Arabidopsis thaliana: one gene and its partners. The protein of the gene in region 4 interacts with the protein of the main gene of each other region in a pairwise test. Each region holds a gene or a part of one and is shown on either strand. Other genes may lie near its edges.

The links.
Region 1: the proteins of HS1 (region 4) and SAG18 interact in a protein complementation assay, tested with the Arabidopsis thaliana proteins (one large-scale study listed by BioGRID).
Region 2: the proteins of HS1 (region 4) and AT1G16560 interact in a protein complementation assay, tested with the Arabidopsis thaliana proteins (one large-scale study listed by BioGRID).
Region 3: the proteins of HS1 (region 4) and AT2G21237 interact in a protein complementation assay, tested with the Arabidopsis thaliana proteins (one large-scale study listed by BioGRID).

Annotation. Positions count from the first base shown.
Region 1 is NC_003070.9:26,832,211-26,836,941, forward strand, and holds SAG18 (senescence associated gene 18), read right to left. Parts: upstream 2,851-4,731; 5' UTR 2,773-2,850; coding exon 2,646-2,772; intron 2,550-2,645; coding exon 2,447-2,549; intron 2,375-2,446; coding exon 2,254-2,374; intron 2,164-2,253; coding exon 2,042-2,163; intron 1,957-2,041; coding exon 1,835-1,956; intron 1,730-1,834; coding exon 1,570-1,729; intron 1,500-1,569; exon of another isoform or gene 1,478-1,499; coding exon 1,387-1,477; 3' UTR 1,196-1,386; downstream 1-1,195. Other genes in the region: AT1G71180 (6-phosphogluconate dehydrogenase family protein), read left to right, coding at 125-1,081; AT1G71200 (basic helix-loop-helix (bHLH) DNA-binding superfamily protein), read right to left, coding at 3,763-3,855, 4,403-4,731.
Region 2 is NC_003070.9:5,666,338-5,671,637, reverse strand, and holds AT1G16560 (Per1-like family protein), read right to left. Parts: upstream 3,255-5,300; 5' UTR 3,174-3,254; exon of another isoform or gene 2,720-3,173; 5' UTR 2,694-2,719; coding exon 2,599-2,693; intron 2,479-2,598; coding exon 2,229-2,478; coding exon of another isoform or gene 2,225-2,228; intron 2,146-2,224; coding exon 1,949-2,145; intron 1,860-1,948; coding exon 1,672-1,859; intron 1,594-1,671; coding exon 1,295-1,593; 3' UTR 930-1,294; downstream 1-929. Other genes in the region: AT1G16570 (UDP-Glycosyltransferase superfamily protein), read left to right, coding at 45-217, 336-388, 461-758, 849-875.
Region 3 is NC_003071.7:9,099,324-9,103,137, reverse strand, and holds AT2G21237 (uncharacterized protein), read left to right. Parts: upstream 1-1,922; 5' UTR 1,923-1,953; coding exon 1,954-2,454; 3' UTR 2,455-2,602; downstream 2,603-3,814. Other genes in the region: BPC4 (basic pentacysteine 4), read left to right, coding at 649-717, 802-1,623.
Region 4 is NC_003074.8:5,879,463-5,883,962, forward strand, and holds HS1 (heat stable protein 1), read left to right. Parts: upstream 1-2,456; 5' UTR 2,457-2,503; intron 2,504-2,602; exon of another isoform or gene 2,603-2,614; 5' UTR 2,615-2,855; coding exon 2,856-2,995; intron 2,996-3,244; coding exon 3,245-3,434; 3' UTR 3,435-3,738; downstream 3,739-4,500. Other genes in the region: UPL6 (ubiquitin protein ligase 6), read left to right, coding at 1-13, 120-186, 408-578, 668-757, 852-932, 1,041-1,114, 1,221-1,292, 1,385-1,474 and 1 more; PMEI2 (pectin methylesterase inhibitor 2), read right to left, coding at 3,866-4,387.

The DNA of each region.
Region 1 (4,731 bases), on a different chromosome or scaffold from region 4:
TACTCATCAATCCTTTCGATTAAAAGTATAGCCATGACTGATGTGAAATAACTAAAATCCAGAAGAAAAAGAGATTTGAGCTCAATAAATAAAAATTGAGTGAAGTAGCTAAGACTTATTTTTTATGTTCTACCAATCGTCGTCGTCTCTCACGCAAATTCTTCATTCGTTCTGTGGAAACACAGAAATGGAGACTCCATATCCGAAACTCATCGATCCTTCAAAGACTCGAATAGGATGGATTGGCATCGGGATAATGGGATCGGCCATGGTTTCTCATATTATCGCCGCAGGCTATTCTGTCACAGTTTACGCTCGCGACCTCCGGAAAACAAAAGATCTGCAAACCAAAGGAGCTCGCATAGCCAATAGCCCCAAAGAGTTAGCGGAGATGAGCGACGTTGTGTTCACGATTGTTGGAAACTTCAACGATGTCCGATCATTGCTTCTCGGTGACGATGGTGTACTCTCTGGTCTTACGCCCGGTGGAGTAACAGTGGACATGACTAGTAGCAAACCAGGATTGGCGCGTGAAATACACGCAGAAGCGAGGCGTAGGAATTGTTGGGCGGTGGATGCGCCGGTATCAGGTGGAGACGCTGGAGCACGAGAGGGGACGTTAGGGATTTTCGCCGGCGGAGATTCAGAGATTGTGGAGTGGTTGTCCCCGGTGATGAAGAATATAGGGACTGTTACTTATATGGGAGAAGCAGGGAGTGGGCAAAGCTGCAAGATAGGGAATCAGATTGCTGGTGCGAGCAACCTGGTTGGACTTGCTGAAGGGATAGTGTTCGCTGAGAAAGCGGGTTTAGATACAGTGAAATGGCTCGAGGCGGTGAAGGATGGTGCAGCTGGATCGGCGGTTATGCGGCTGTTTGGGGAGATGATTGTGAAGAGGGATTATAGGGCGACTGGCTTTGCGGAGTATATGGTGAAAGATTTGGGAATGGCTGCAGAGGCGGCGATGCCTGGTGCTGCTCTGAGCAAGCAGTTGTTCACTGGAATGGTGGCTAATGGAGATGGCAAGTTAGGTATTCAAGGCGTCGTCTCTGTTATTAGAAGACTTAACGGCATATCCTGAAAACACTTGTGTTGTAAAACAGAGTGTTCCAATGATTTCACGATCAACTAGGCAAACTTGTCTTCGATTTGGTTTAAGTTGATAATAAGAAGAACATCGAGTCTCACCAATCTCAATAAGAAACAAAGGGCATTTATGAATGGTAGAGTGCAGCATTTTGATAAGATTACAGATCGCTAACATTAGTTTCCAACTGGATCATAAATCTGTACCTTCTATATCTAATTCTATTAGCCAGTAACCGTAAACACACAAACTATCAAAAGAAAAAGATCATCTTACATTTTACGAGTCAACAAAATAATCTACCGAGTCTCTTCGACTGCAACGTTGGAGTAGCTATGCTCGAACCGTTCTTCCTCGGATCCTTTCTTCCATGTCTTATACAAGCTAATCCTGTGTTTTAACAAAATGATGTAAAACAATGAGAACAAGAATATGGGTCTGCCACGTCGGGTCGTTTCATATACATGAGGATGAAAATGTACCTCTCAGTTTGAACGGTTCTTTTCGCAAGCATGAGGGTAAGGAAGACAGGGACCATAGCGGCACACAGATGCTTCAGAGAATGCCCACTAATAATATGATGAGTCCAGCTATATATAGGCTTATCCGCAGCTTCTTCCACCTTGGCTAAGAGATAGAACCCTGCAATTCCAGACAATTGAATCTAGAATAAGAGCCAGAAAGTAACAACAAAGCTTCAAGAGCAAAGCAAACTAAATATGTATCAACACAACAATAAGCACTAACCTGCAGCCCATAGCCAATAAGTGGAATGTGTATACATTGGAGGCAATAAAATAGCCATCAACGGAATCACAATGCAAGGAACAAACTGAACCAAAGCATATGGCCTAAGGTCATCGAAAAACCTACAATCACAGCCTCATGTCAGCTTACTCTATCTCAACATTGTATCGCTAAAACCACTAGAGATAGTTTAAGGATTTGACTAACCTCCAATACAAAATGCTAACAAGACCAGCAAGAAGTAAAGGAGCAATGGAGTAAGTACCCTTATGCTCATCAATCCTCTCGATTACAAATATAGCCATGATTGATGTGAAAGCAATAGTCATCTAAACCAAAAAGCAATCGAAACCAGTGATCAAAAACAAAACAAAGCAAACAAAATCTCAGAGAAGAGAAGAGAAAGAATAAGAGCGTACGGGAAGACGATCCCAGAGGAGAGTAGCATCGTTTGGGTGAAGATGATAGTAAGAAGATCCAAAAGCAACAGCAGCTACACCGATGTAAAAGCAAGTCCATCCTATTTTCTCACCTCGCAAACTGTTTCAATACACAGAGACTTTAACTAATTTGAATCTGGATTTCACAAAGAAGAAGTATGTAATTACGCACCTAAAGCTAAAGTAATCTTCTGGGTAAAAGCAGAGGATAAGACCAATAAGGCCGATGATGAGGAAAGGGAAGTTGGAGATGACGTTTAAAAAATTTGGAATCCCTGAGAAAATGGATTTGTAAGATCAAAACCCTAAAAATTCAAAAGGGTATTTAAGAAGAAAATGATGATGATGAGAGAAGAGTGTGAATTTTATACCGAGGAAGGAGCGTTGATCGGCGAAATTGTGGTAAGCCTGAGATTGAGGGATTGTGGGAGTGACGATCATAAGTATTATGAAGATTAAAATCGCCGATCCCCACGCGGACATCGTTCGCTTCTTCATCGTCTTCTTCTTCTTCTACTTCAGAGAGAGATGAGATTCTCAGGTTTGACTCTTCTTCTTTTTTTTTTTTCTTTTTGGGGTCGATGTCAGTAAAGGCGTTAAGAAATTGGAAATGTTGAAATTACAACGACAAGGGCAAAACGGTAAATGCCATTGTGATAAGCTTTCAACTCTCTCCGTCATATTTGTTAAATTTAGTACAAGTTAAAACTCCGATTAGTACTAACACGCATAATGGTGGAATGCATTTCCGATTTCTAGTACGATAATGTAAGAATTTTATCAATTATGAAAATTTGTATGAATTCTTAATGCAAGATTTACGTTTTCGTCTTATAAAATACAAGTAAGAATTCATTAGACAAAGTTATTTCAAGTCCAATGCTCAACTTATTTATAGCAAAGGTAAGCCTTGCCAAACTCCATATTCTTTTGGAGCCGTGTTGTCATTTTTGATTTGGTTGTTGTGTCTTTCTCTTGGCTCCTGAAACAAAAGCCGGCTGATTCGGAAAGTTGAGGTTGTGGTCCATCAAAGAGTGGTCTCACCTTTAGACTGCAAGATCATAGTCTATCTGTTGTATATATTTTGCTTCCATGTTTTTAATTATTATTTTTTTTATGCCATGGGATCAAATCTTTAGGTTATACATTTCTTGTTAAACCTATATAAAGAAACTTTAGTCGGCATTCTAACAACTTGTTTTGGAAAACTTGAGTTTTAGCTTCGCAAAGAAATTTCTATTTGGATTACAAGTTATGGGCCTTTGGTAGATAATCCTCTCGGATCGGGTACTAGAGCATGTAAATCGTGATCTTGAGGCATACTAAGAAGAGGTTTACCATAGGGAGATAAACATAACTTCTACATCTATATATGATTTATGAGATTCCCAACACGAAACCAAACATGATCTAAGCAAGAAGAGGAATATTATAAGTTGCGATATGCATCATCAAAGATATTCTGTTGATTCTATACCTCACTATATATCATTTGCACTTTGTGTTGTCACGAAGCGAAGAAATGATGTTGTTCTTTAACACTGTGATGTAGTCATCACCTTCACATGGCTTCTCATCCATCTACACTTTCCCATATACATTTTGCAATTGTTAGTTCTCTCAAAAAAGAACATCCAATGTATATATGTAAATACTATCCAATGACTTTTTAGTGCCATACTATCGAATTGCTAAAAACTAATTTTGAATTTAGTTTAGTGTTTTTGGTCCATAGATCTAGGATCAGCCATTGATAATACATGCAAATATATGTAAATCATCCCTCTTTATACATAATGCTACACTCAAATCCAGGTTCATTGAGGTCGAAACAGTCTCTCTCCCACCAATAGAATCAATATATCTTAAGAACAAAAACCATTGGTTTATGAACTTAATGATAAACCATTAGTCCTATATCTTTTCTAAACGTTATATAATCTTAACATAATCTCAATGCTTAGCTAAAGTTAAAACACAATCCTCCCATGACTTGGACCCTAAACATGTATTGTTTGGAGAAGAAAAGTTACATCATTGTTCATATCCATGAAGACTAGCACATTGTCTCCATTCTATCAAAACATAAACTAAAGAGAAATGAAGAAGATAAGATGAGACACAGTACCTTGACATGGAAGTTGTAGCAAACCACCCTTTGCTCTCGGCAAACTTGAGAAGTAGAAGCACTTAAAACACTCAAACCTTGCACCTCCATTACATGAAGCAAGTTGGAGAACTCATCTTCGTTTTCTTTCTTCAAGCATATCTGTACAACAGCCTCATAACCTGATTCCCCCAATTCAAGAACCGAGATTGCTCGAATAGAAGGACCTCGTCTCTCTAACTCCACAAGCTTCTGCTTTCTTAGAGTTAGCTCTCCAACTTCATTCTGTAGCTTGGGAATGTAAGTGATTACATTATCGATTATAGATGGTGCAGACCATTTCTTCTGCC
Region 2 (5,300 bases), on a different chromosome or scaffold from region 4:
ATTTAGCTGTTTCTTTTTCTGAGCTATCCATGCTGTCTATGAAGGTAAAGGACCTGAAAAGGAGATGTACGAGGAGAAAATCAAACGATTAAACCTTAGACATGTGGCATTCCGTACAATGTGGCTCGCAGCTGAAGATTACCCATTGCTTTTAGGTTCTGCAGATCTCGGTGTCTGCTTACACACTTCCTCGTCGGGTTTAGACCTTCCCATGAAGGTAAGCACATTGTTTTTATAGCTCATATGTTAAGAAGCACATTGTTTTTAATAAGGTTAAGAAGATTTAAGACTTGATTTCCATTGTGTCAACTTGCTACCGATGTTTGGCGTTTTAGGTTGTTGATATGTTTGGATGTGGCCTCCCAGTTTGCTCGGTTTCCTACTCATGGTAAATAATCAATCACTTACATTACTTTCACGAACAAATACTATAACTTTAAAACCTTCAACTTTCGTGAAGCATTCAAGAACTCGTTAAAGATGGGAAGAACGGACTTTTGTTTTCATCTTCATCAGAATTAGCAGATCAATTATTGGTAAGTAACTCGTCTTTCTTTTTAAAAGACTATTTCACCAAGTCTACAGCAGAAGACAGCAGTAATGTTCTTGTGTTTTGTCTTTGTGAACAGATTCTCTTCAAGGGTTTTCCAGGGAACTGTGATGCACTAATGTCGCTTAAAGCGGGTGCAATGGAGACTGGTTCTTCGGGTCGATGGGCTACAGAGTGGGAAGATTGTGCAAAACCTTTAATCACTCAGGCAAAATCCGTCGGCCCTCTCTGTATCCCGCACACATACTTTTTTATTGGGCTATTTCTCATAAGATGTCTTTATGTCTGGTCTATGCAGGTCGTGTCTCAAATTGCAGATTCATGAAAGAGAAGACTCAAAATCGATGGGCTTGAGAGTTTCTCACACAACTGCTTTTGTAGATCCAAATTTTTATACAAAATCCTATAGATTACAAGATTGTCTCGAAAATATTGACAGAATCTGAATTCAAAATGGTTTCGCATGAGTCTGTGTATGAATGAGTAAATGATATCAAAATCTTTCTTAACCAAAAGTAAGGCCAAAGAAAAACACTGAAAGGCTCAAAGCAAATTCAACAGTTAATGTAACAATATAAAATAAAAAAAACTGAAGAAACCTGTGAATCCATAAACCAGCTAGCTTTAAACAAAAGACTCTGCCTTCTTCGTGATGTTTAAATCCATTTCCATCTTTTGTTTTTCCCTCGTGTCTGCATACTCGTATGGTCGGATAAAAATCCTTGTAAAACTTAGCAAAGAGACTCACTTTGCCTTCGTCTTAGTTTTCTTGAGGAGGCTGGAAGTTCTGAACTCAGCATCGTCTCTAATGAAGCTCCACCAGAGAATGGTTAAGGGAATTGTGGCAGCGTGCCAGATCGAGTGAGCATCGAAGTAGCCTTCATATGGAGGAAAATCATATATCTCTAGAAGCATGGCTAATCCTCCAGCTATCACAACCACCCAAAGTTTCCAATTAGAAGGGTGGCTTGAGACAGCGGCCCATCTTGCCCATAGGAAAAGCTGTGAGACTCCCATTGCCACACACACAATCATGTTCCAGCCTGTAAACGACATTCAACTGATGAATTCACCAAAAATATTGACTCGATTTTTAGACAACGGAAAGTTATTGAGGGTACCATAGTCGAGTTTGTAGAAGTTTATGTAGAGTATGTGGGTGGTTACAAAAGCTAGTATTGGAGCGGATACCATGACCCTTGCAGCCTCAACCCGAATATCAAATGTTCGTAAAATGGCTAAGATGAGTGAGAATCCGAGAATCGCTACTGCGGATGAGTAGTCCAACCTCTCTGTAAGGTCAACATCCCTGAGAACCACAGAGACGGATTACCAGAAAATCACATATGAATATATGATGCAGATTGTGGATAATAGAGTAATGTGTAGATGATTTACCGGCTGTGGAAAACAGCACTCCAGAACCAAGAGTTCATGGACAGGAGACCGTAGATATGCCACAAACCAACGTATTCATAGTACGCTGTCCTATCTTGTTTCAGAGGCAACTTATAGTAGATCATGATGAAAAAGGAAAGCCAACCATGGAAATGCATTGCTAGGTTGAGTACAGAGAAAGCAACAGAAGCAGGCTCCTGGCAAAGAACAAGGTAAGTCAAAACTCATATTATATGGAAACAACCAGAATAAAAAAAAGCGATTGAAGAAAAAAACTAACCTGAATCCCAAGTACACGCTTGAAGGGCCATTTACCATGGTACTTGACTGGGGCTTGACCGAGAGTTTCCCGTTCAGTCTCTCTATTAACCATACATTGATAACGGCAATCACCTTGACAACCCCATTTTTTCCATTGTAAATACAAAGGTTCTTGGATGTACCATGGACCACCATCGGATGAAGAATTGCACTGAGGAAAGCAAAGTTGTCCAACACAACCGCTTATCTCACATTCTGAAACACATGTCCTGACACAAAATTGCCAGACATTCATAATCTCCACGAATCAAAAATGTTGCTTACATATAAGCTACAACAAAACCAAGTTCACGATAGATACTCAAAGATTACCGAAATTCTAAGATTACCTGTAATCTGGATCAGCATCGCCAGCACTAGCATTTGAAATACAGAAAAGGCATGGCAACAATAGAAACAGGGCTGTCCAGTAGTGGACTGCCATCTGAGCAGAAAGTTGAAGTGAAATCACTGCGTGATAATAACAATGCAAGCCTCAAAAAACAAAGAAAGAAATCGCTTAAAGGAGCTGCAAATGGAAACTATGAATCAGAGACTATAAAAAAAAACTACAAATGTGAAGATCTTCATATGATGCTTCCGTTAAGAATCCTAAAGCAAGTGTTTATTCCAGTGAAAGAAATTCTCACATATCAATAAAAATCCTTCTATAATTCGACCTTGAAAGACTACAGAATCTCTTGGTTAAGGATCGAACTTGATTTCTGTAGAATCTAATACTATGATTTCCAGATTCGATCAGATTATCGAAAACTCAGAACTTAAATCAAATGCAGAGCTTAAACCCCCTCGAGATCTACCAATCAAGCAGGGACAACAACAACAAGATGAGAAATCGATCAGCTATAATGTAGAGAGCAAGAAAATAGAGAAAAAATCGAGCAGATCAGATAGAATCCAATACCTCCCGAGTCTGAGTCTGAGAGTCTGGTCTTCGCAACAATGTTAAAGCTTCAAAGAATATTATCGCACTCCTGTAAATAATGGAGACGACGAAAGAGAAGACCACGTGTCTTATAATTTAAACTAAACGACGTAGTTTTTGCATTATTCTTTTTCTTTCTAGTTTCTACCATTATCTGCTTTACAAAATGTCCCCCAAAAAAGAGTAACAAAACCTTCTTTCGTATTTATCTTATCTCAATAATATAATTGTTACAAGTACTCAGAAGAATGGGAATTTGCAGACATAATATAAGTAAGAGAGGTTTTAGTGCAAGGCAAAAAGAATGACCCTATGGTTTCCTTCCAATGCTTTCTTGGAGCTTTTTTGATAGTTCCTCATAGTGTCTTCTTTGCTGTTTGTTCACAGAAGGTGAGACTAAGGACAATGCTTGCTCGAAATGAGTCATCTTAATCGTACACTGACTTGTATCTGTAATATCGTCATCATCTTCACATGAAATTGTGGTGATCTCCTCCACTGCCTGGAATGTAGCTTTTTGCACCAAGTGAGCGAGATCAGCTCCGCTGAAACCTTCACAATTCATCTTTGCAATGCTATCAAGATCAACACTAGGATCTATGGGCTTCTTCCTTGCAATAGCTTTTAGAATTGAAGCACGTTCATCGGCGTTAGGGAGGGGTACATATAGAAGATTCCCAAACCTACCAGGTCTCAAGAACGCAGGATCAATTACATCTGGCCTGTTTGTAGCTCCAATTACGTATACATTACGCCTCTCTCCACCGTCTAGCTCAACAAGGAACTGGTTTAAAAGCCGTTCAACAACCCAGGCACCTTCTTTGCCACGGCTTGTTGTCAAAGCATCCACCTCATCAAAGAAGATCACACATGGCGAACATGTCCGGGCACGCTGAAACAATGTCCGAATAGCAAGCTCGCTCTCTCCAACGTACTTGTTTAGAAGCTCTGCACCCTTGATGTGCATGAAATTAGCTCCTGCCTCGTTAGCAACTGCCTTTGCAATCAATGTCTTGCCACAACCCGGTGGTCCATAGAGTAAAAATCCAACCTCTAAGTCTACCCCAAAAGCCTAAAAAGAACCAAAGTGGCACATTCAGACCTCGAGAGAAAAAGCAAGTAATCTTGACTATATAACAGTTCTAAGTGACTTATTAGTTACCTTGTAAATATCAGGCTTTTTGATAGGTCTGACTATATAGCGGTTGAATTCAAGTCGTAGATGCTCAAGTCCACCAACATCATCCCACTTGACATCAGGCACGATAGAGAATCCTTCCCTTGTTAAAGATGCCTGAACTAGATTCACTGCTTCCTAGTAGATTACAGAGCAACCAACAGAGTTAGGAACCAAGGATTAAAATCTCGTAGCTATTGAAGTACAGAAAAGTAGACTCATGCCATGCCTACAATTAACATACCTCGAAATCAGACATCTTAACAAAGAGTTTTTCCAACTCTTCTTCTGGCCAGGGATGCCTCAGCCAAGAACTATCATCTTCAGAGTCCCCAGCCAGTTGAGATTTTCTTGAATCCAAGATTCTCTTTGTGGCAATCCTGCCAGCCATGTTAGCAACACCCTCCAAATCTGCTCCAACAAAACCCGGCGTTAAACGAGCTATTCTTTTCTTGTCAAAGGGCCCTTCTAGTCTAAGTTTTTGGGCTACAACAGAAAGTATCTCAGCTCTTGCATCTTCATCTGGAACACCTAGAGCAATCTCACATTCAAATCGTCCACTTCTCCTCAAAGCAGGATCAAGAACATCAGGCCATTTGTAGCTCCAATAACGAGAACAAATCCAACACTAGACTCAGGACCATTGTTACCAGGTCCATCCATACAAGTCAATAATTGCGTTACAATCCGCTTTTCCATCTCCCTTTGCTGATTTTCCCTCTTTGATCCAATCGCATCAATCTCATCGATAAACACAATGGAAGGTGCAGTCCTATACGCTTTAGAGAAAAGCTCTCTAAGATTCTCTTCAGAAGCACCAGAGACACCAGAAACCACATCTGTAGCTGAAATCTTATAAAACGGAACACCAACTTCATTGGCTATAGCATTAGCCAACTTGGTCTTCCCACAGCCAGGTGGTCCATGAA
Region 3 (3,814 bases), on a different chromosome or scaffold from region 4:
CCCTTGATTTCTCTTGTTTAGTAGTAGAGAAGAGGGTAATTTGGTAAATGACGAAGTAAGTACATTGAGCTTCTTCGCGGACAGAGACACTATCTCTCTCTCTCTCTACCCTTTGGATCTTTCTTCTCGATCAATTATCCATTTTGCCCAGATTTTTTCCAGAAGCTCATCGAATTCGTAAGCTTTCGCGCCTTTTCCTCTCTTTAATTTATTTGTTAATCAATTTTGAATGTGTTGTATCTCTAGGGTTTATAATTTCAGTTTCACCCTTGTTTTCTATTGTTTCGCGGAATAATCTCTTGTCATGGAAGGTTTAGATTGATTCGACCTTTTTGATCTTGACCTAATTTATTCCAATTTTCGTAAAATTGTTCCTTAAGACCTGTTTCTCTGACTAGCTCAGATTGATTTTGGTATCTGAATCAATTGCGGAACCCTAACTGGCAGATCAATTCGAGAAGTTTTGATTTTGTTTGAAGATAGTGAATTGCGAGTTCAGTGTGCTAATATCTGCTTGTAATTCTTACTCTTCAATTGTTTTCATAGATCGAATCACAATGTTTGAAATTTGGTTTCACTGTTGCTGAGTGTGTTTGGAGGAGAAGCTTGATTGGTTCGGTGTTTCACTGTTTGAAGATTATAAGAGTTATGGAGAATGGTGGTCAGTATGATAATGCGCGGTTCAAGCCCGATTACTTCAAAGGTGCACAATCTATGGTAAGACTTAAGATTTTTGGTTTCCTAAAGATATGTTTTTGTTAGTGTGATTGAAGTTATATAAGCAAAGAATGTTTGTTACAGTGGAATATGATTCCCCAGCATCAGATTAAGGAACAACATAATGCGTTGGTGATGAATAAGAAGATCATGTCCATCCTTGCTGAGAGAGACGCTGCTGTACATGAAAGAAATCAAGCTGTCTCTGCTAAAAAGGAAGCTGTCGCTGCTCGGGACGAAGCGCTTCAGCAACGTGACAAAGCTCTTTCTGAGAGAGATAAAGCTTTGATAGAGAGAGATAATGCTTATGCTGCTCTTCAACACCATGAAAATAGTCTCAACTTTGCTTTGTCTGGTGGGAAGTGTGTTGATGGAGATGATTGTTTTGGTATTGGGGAACCCCACAAACTTGAAGTCTTCCCTTTGTCAACTATTCCGCCTGAGGTTACAAACACGAAGGTGGTGAACAAAAGGAAGAAAGAGAACAAGCAGGGACTATCAAAGGTGAAAAAAGTGGGTGAAGATCTGAACCGTCGAGTTCCTGCTCCTGGAAAGAAATCTAGAACAGATTGGGACAGTCAAGATGTCGGTTTGAACTTAGTCACCTTCGATGAGACGACAATGCCTGTACCCATGTGTTCGTGCACAGGCTCTACGCGTCAGTGTTACAAATGGGGAAATGGCGGCTGGCAATCGTCTTGCTGCACAACCACCTTATCCCAGTATCCATTACCGCAGATGCCAAACAAGAGGCATTCTCGGATGGGCGGTAGGAAAATGAGCGGAAACGTTTTCTCGAGATTACTCAGCCGTTTATCAGCAGAAGGATATGATCTCTCGTGTCCTGTTGATCTTAAAGACTATTGGGCTAGGCACGGGACAAACCGCTACATCACTATCAAGTAGCCTCTGTTGTTTACACAGTCCAAGTATGTTTCTCTCGTCTTCTTAAGATTAGGTGTTGTCTTTGTCTTTATTGTCCATAGTTTGTTCTTTGTTGTGTATGGTAAAACCATTGTTATGTGTATCTTTTGGATGGGCAAAAATGGTTTGCATAAAAAATCTGTGTTTTGACCTCAAAAAATAAAATAAAATCGTAACAGTTAAAAATCAAAATCTGTTACCCCTTTGATAGCAAAATCTGTTACCCCTTTTTTCTTTCACTTGTTAGTTTCTTTTTATACCGAGAGGAGAGAACAAAAAATAAAACACAAAGTAAGCATAAACAACAACAAAATGATGGAGAAAGCCACAGTGGCGCATGTGGAGACGCATCAACGGTCACAAGAGATATGGTTTCTTGGCGCCGCAAGAGCCTTCTTGCAAATTCCGAATCCGGGGATTGTCAAAGTTTTTGTCCTAAGCAGCTTGACTACATTCACCTCAGGAATGGCTTTAGTCATTGAGTGGATCTGTCACGGAAAGAGTCACACGGGATTCGGGTGGATCATCTACTATGCATTGTTCTTGATGTGTCTTCCTCTTGTCATCTTGATCGGTCTTCATATTCTCGTCAGGCGCGGCTCAGATCAGATTGTGGATTCAACTCCAAGCAAAGAACCGTGTGTGGTGCAGAATCAGAGTACCGAGACGACTAAACGAACTGAAGAAACGGTGAAAAACAGCTGCCAAAGTTTAGCCGTTGTGGTTGCTCCGGATGACAAGAAGATGCCGAGGATAAAACGCGCAGTGTCATTCCCGTCTCACGGCGAAGTAAGATCATGTCGAACTCGTTAGCAAATTAAAACTTAGTGTGGTTCATTCAAAAAAATAACTTTGATGTGGTTAGCTATCAGATCGATTCAAGAATCTAATAATCTCTTTTGTGATATGTTTGTTATTCAGCATTTTATCTTTTCCAATAATCCAACGACCAATGATCTTCAAAAATTCGAATTACATCTTTCTTTCTTTTTTCCCCTCTTATGAGCTGAGTTCAATATATATATATATATATATATATATATATATATATATATATATATATATTGATGTACTATATATTGTTAGTTAAAAGCAAAAGATGAAAAAGTCTTACAATGGGTTTTGGTTTTTCTTTGAAATTTTGTAACAACCCAAGTAAAATACTAGATCCTCTGTTTTTTAGGGAAAGTATTTTTTGCAAAATTTTGAATTGCTATAAAGTAGAGTTTTGGAAAAACTAAAATAAAAAATCTTTACATTCAAGGTAAAAATCTCTACTTCTTTGAAATAATGCCACGTGTCAGTTCAGCGAGGAATAATATGTGTGAGTCTCATGGGTTGTTTGAGTCAATTTCGTTACCGGTTCTACAATAAGAAGTTACTTTGGCCCAAATAGAAAGAAATTTTACTTATCAAGTGGCCGAAAGGTGGCCCCAAAAAAACAAGGAAGTAAATCTACTAATGTACATTTGTCGCTACATAATTGGTCTAAGATAAATTACTTATATAGAATACTGTTATGGTGATTTACCCAATTTTTAGCCAAATGTGGTAAATTTAATTTCTAAACAAACTTACAATCATTTATAGTATCTATTAATTTATTGCTAACAACAATTATTTTTTCCAAATAAAAATACATTTTTTTTTACAAAATTTAATTTAGATTCACTGAAATATCTACAATTAAGTAATGTAATTTAATGTGGGTCCATGTAGTGCATAGAAAAGATTTACTAATTAAGTGATTGCTAAAATCAATAAATTAATAAACAAAAATAAAAATATTAGTTGATCAAAAAAAGGAGATATATGATATTTATTAATATAGCCAAAAAATAAATCTCACAATTACAATTAATCAAAGGACTACAAAAATATACAAAACTTTCTGTAAAAAATCAAACAACAATCATTTGTAAAATCCAACATTGGTAATTCTTCTAGAGATGAACCAAATGTATATCTAAATCAGAAAAAGAAAACAAACAATATTTATGTTCCTTGATCAGTCTTAAATAAACGTGGTAAAATAGTTCGATTACAACGAAATAAACGTGTCAATAACTCATTAATAAAACTGAAAAAAACGTGATAAAATAACTCACTAGAATAAATAACGCGGCAAAATAACTAACTAATGACTCGATAGCAAAACACAAACAATTTAGAT
Region 4 (4,500 bases):
AACTGAAACAAAAGTATGTAAATTTAATTTCTACCTCAATTTCCTGTCACTTCATTCGTTTTTTAAGCCCGCATAGACTTTTTGAACATGTTGTGAAACTTCTATTGTTCTTTGGCTAGGTACAACTATTTGAACGATTTGCCTTCTCTGGATCCTGAGTTGTATAGGCACCTTATATTTCTGAAGGTGAGTTTTGCTGAACATTCTATTTAATTGTTGCTTTGTAGAACGGGGAGATAGTTGCTAGCATAGATGTGCGAGAATGCTGAAATCTGTTTGTTTGTTTTTGTTTCGAAACTGAAATTTGTTTGTTTACCTACCTACGATAATTTTGGCTCTTTTTTTTTTTTTTTTTTTTGCTTCTTAGCTTTATACACCTTTTTATGTATTCATTATGATATTTGCAGCGTTATAAGGGTGATATCTCAGACTTGGAGCTTTACTTTGTTATTTTGAATAATGAATATGGAGAGAGGACAGAGGAAGAGCTACTTCCAGGGGGCCAAGACATGCGAGTTACAAATGAGAATGTTATAACTTTCATTCATCTGGTTTCCAATCATCGGTTAAATTTTCAGGTACTGGGGAACCACTTACCTCTCATTTATCTTGGCATACCTGAGGTCACCCTGTAAATCAACAGCTATTGATATCATCTCATTTGCAGATACGCCAGCAGAGTTCTCATTTCTTGAGGGGGTTTCAGCAACTCATTCCGAAAGAATGGATCGACATGTTCAATGAACATGAGCTTCAGGTGCCAATTAAGTGTATAATTATACTTGCTTTGTTAGTTGTTCCCTCGAGGAGCATGAAGAGAGAAATTTTACCTTTGTGGGCTTTGGTTGCAGGTTCTCATATCTGGTTCAGTTGATAGTTTGGATATAGACGACTTGCGAAACAACACTAATTATGCTGGAGGCTACCACGCGGTGAGTGGTTCTTCACTGTTAGCCGAAATGCCATTGTGAATTAGTGTAGGGACACTTTTGGAGTATTGTTATATATGATTATATCGCTATGTTGTTGACACTTGACAGGGACATTATGTGATCGATATGTTCTGGGAAGTTATGAAAAGCTTCTCAACTGAAAACCAGAAGAAGTTCTTAAAGTAAGCAAACTTTGCAGTTACTACTACAGTCTGTGTACGCAATGATTTACCGGAGTCTATGAATTTTCTAAGGGAACTAAGAGGTACCTCTATTTTTCAATTTCAGGTTTGTGACAGGCTGCTCACGAGGACCACTGCTGGGTTTCAAATACTTGGAACCTGCATTCTGCATACAGAGGTAATATACACAGACTCACAATCGTTTTGACTTTTGATGGGCCCTGGACAATAGAATCATAAAATATCCATCCTCGATGGAATGTGTATCAGGGCTGCCGGTAGTGCGAGTAATGAATCAGTTGATAGACTACCGACATCAGCCACTTGTATGAATCTTCTTAAGCTTCCGCCCTATCAAAGGTTTGTCCTCTCATAACACAAACTCTTTGGTTTTGCTTAGCTAAGAGACTTGTTTTGTTGCCAAATAGCTTCTCTTGGTGTTGTAATTGGAAAAAGCAAATAAAGCATGTCTTGTTGTTAATGATGCAGCAAAGAGCTACTTGAGACCAAATTGATGTACGCCATAAGCGCAGAAGCGGGTTTTGATCTGAGCTGATGGAATAGCTTCCTGCCTTAAACACAGACTTCAATGGCCCCAAATTGACACCCTTTTTTCTAGCATTCCTCGTTATGGTATAAACCGGGTAACCTGTAGACTGAGGCAGGCTTGTTGGCTCTAAGCATCTAAGAGACGGATCTAGAAGGAGAACATGTAGTAGAGATTACTTGACTAATGGGTTTCATTTGCAGCTCTCGGGTATTCGCTTTCAAAAAGTGTGACAAAAAAAAAAAAGTGATTACAGGGAAGTCTTTATTTGGAAGCTCCTGAGAGTTAGTCTTGGGTTAAAAATTCAATAAAAGAAATGGTAAATAAGACTGGTCTCAAGAGGAACTTAAATGCTGTAAATTATTTTGCTTAATTAATGCATGTTACACAGAACATAGATGATTATTTTGATACTTATTTGCATCATACCATATATCTTCTATAAAAAGATGCATTTTAGTGACTTAGTGGTAAGAATATCCTTTTTTTTTTTTTTTTGTCATATGATAATTATTAAAACAGAAACAAAATGACAGAAAAATAACGAGAAATACAAAATGAAATTTAAACTTTACTTTCCTTAGACACTTGATTGTGAAGTCATGAAGGCTCTCCAAGTGCTAAGTAAAACTTAGACTGAAACCTTCTGTCTTGAATCACACTCCCAAGAAATGGAACGCGCGATCAGATTTGCGTTTGTGGCAATATGACGGAATGTACAAGATTCAAATGCACTAACAATCTCATGGATTTGTGTTAACCAATTTCTATAGAAAGGCTATTTGGACGGCTGCAAAACGGCGTTAAGTGCGGCTGGACAGTCCAACTCTATTATCACCGTGGTAAGAATATCTCTATATACATTTTTTGTCGCACTTATCATGATTAATCAAGTAAACATAATTGTTACAAACACTTTATAAATTAAAAAAGCTTCAATTCAATTTGCACAGAAAAGAAAAAAAAAAGAAGAAGATTCAATACAGAGTATACCAGGAGCATCTGGTAATGTTTATATCTGAGGACGTTTTATTTAATTTTTTGGAACGAAAACAATAATCCGACGATCGTATTTGCACGTCGCAAATCCGCTCTTTTAATCAAAGATCTCGACCGTCCATTTTTAGTTAAGACTTTAGAGAGCTGATAAGTGGAATAGTGGAGATTTGCATTCGCAGGGGATAAGGATCAAAAATGGAGGAAGCAAAGGGACCTGTGAAGCACGTATTGCTTGCTAGTTTCAAAGATGGGGTTAGTCCTGAGAAAATCGAAGAGCTCATCAAAGGTTACGCCAATCTCGTCAATCTCATCGAACCTATGAAAGCTTTCCACTGGTTAGTAAATTTGGATTCTGAATTGCTTCCTAGTGTTAGACATATGCTCGAGATCCGAAAAACACTTCCATCAACTCAATATGATTATGTAAAACTAAGCAATTTGGGGAAATTCATGACCTTCCTAGTGTTGATCTAATTTCCCTCAGAGAGAATCCATCTCCATTGATGATCTTTTGAAAAGTTAAATCAACTAAATCGACGAATCTGCTCTTGTCTTATTGAATTATTGGATCTGTATAATTTTAGGGGAAAAGATGTGAGCATTGAGAATCTGCATCAAGGTTACACACACATCTTTGAATCCACATTTGAGAGTAAAGAAGCTGTTGCAGAGTACATTGCTCATCCTGCTCACGTTGAATTCGCCACCATCTTCCTTGGCAGCTTGGATAAAGTTTTGGTTATTGACTACAAGCCTACCTCTGTCTCTCTCTAATTATCTTGTAGCAGCATTTTCATCATTGATCTTTTTCTCGGGTATGCATCTTGTATGTTGAATAAAGTATATTCCTTTTGAGTTTTCCTGCATTGTTCTCATGTTTCTCTGTGAATTTCTCTCTTTTTTGTTTGTTTGTTTGTTTCCTTCTGTTGTATTATACTTGATCTGTAAAAAGATCATGAGTTTATTAAGAGTGTTTGATTTCAGACTCCTCTTTGTTATAAGTCTATTACTAGTTGTTGTCTCTTAGTTTCTTTTATCAATAGAGTTGAGTTATATGGAATAACAAGTTGAAAAGAAACCAGGTTCTTGTTGATGTGTGGGTTGGAGAAAAAAAGTTCTTTGATTATATATGTAACATTTATGCATTACTGTTTAATGTAATCGTCTAATGAGTATGATGAAGGGAGATTGAATCAATCCCACTCTCACATCATGTTTGAGATGACAAGTACAATGCCACAAATATTCTGAAAATCACCACTGTTCTTCACAGCTGAAGGATCAACTTTGAAATCCGCCATGTCTTGTTCACATGTTGAAGGTCCTTCCATAGCTGCTGAAACCTTAATGTTCAACCCTTTGCCATCGCCTGACGCCAGGCTCTGCTTAGCATCATTGAGACTGCTTATTGCACTCTTATAATGTTGTACACATGAGGTGTATGCTTTCTTCATAGTGGGGTTGGTTGCTGTCTTGACTAGAGATTGAATTTTCCTGAAACCTTCTGATGCACTTGTTTGTGCAGAACCAAATGTGATATTTGCAAGCGTTTGAAGATCAGCACCTGAGGTCTTTGGGTTGGATTTCATGTAGCTCGTACAGAAGGATTGGTTTTTCGCTTTTCCACATATCGCTTTTATGTCTGCCACTTGTGCGTTCAAAGAACCAGTCATTACAAAAAACATCAGAGAAGACATTAAAACTCTGTTCGTCAGGTATGCTGCCATCTTTGCTTCTTTCTTTCTTATGTTCGTTGGTAGATGATGGTTAAGTTATTCCCTTACTATGCCTGACTATTCATATTTATAGATGCATGCGATTGATTGCTTCCACTAGAACT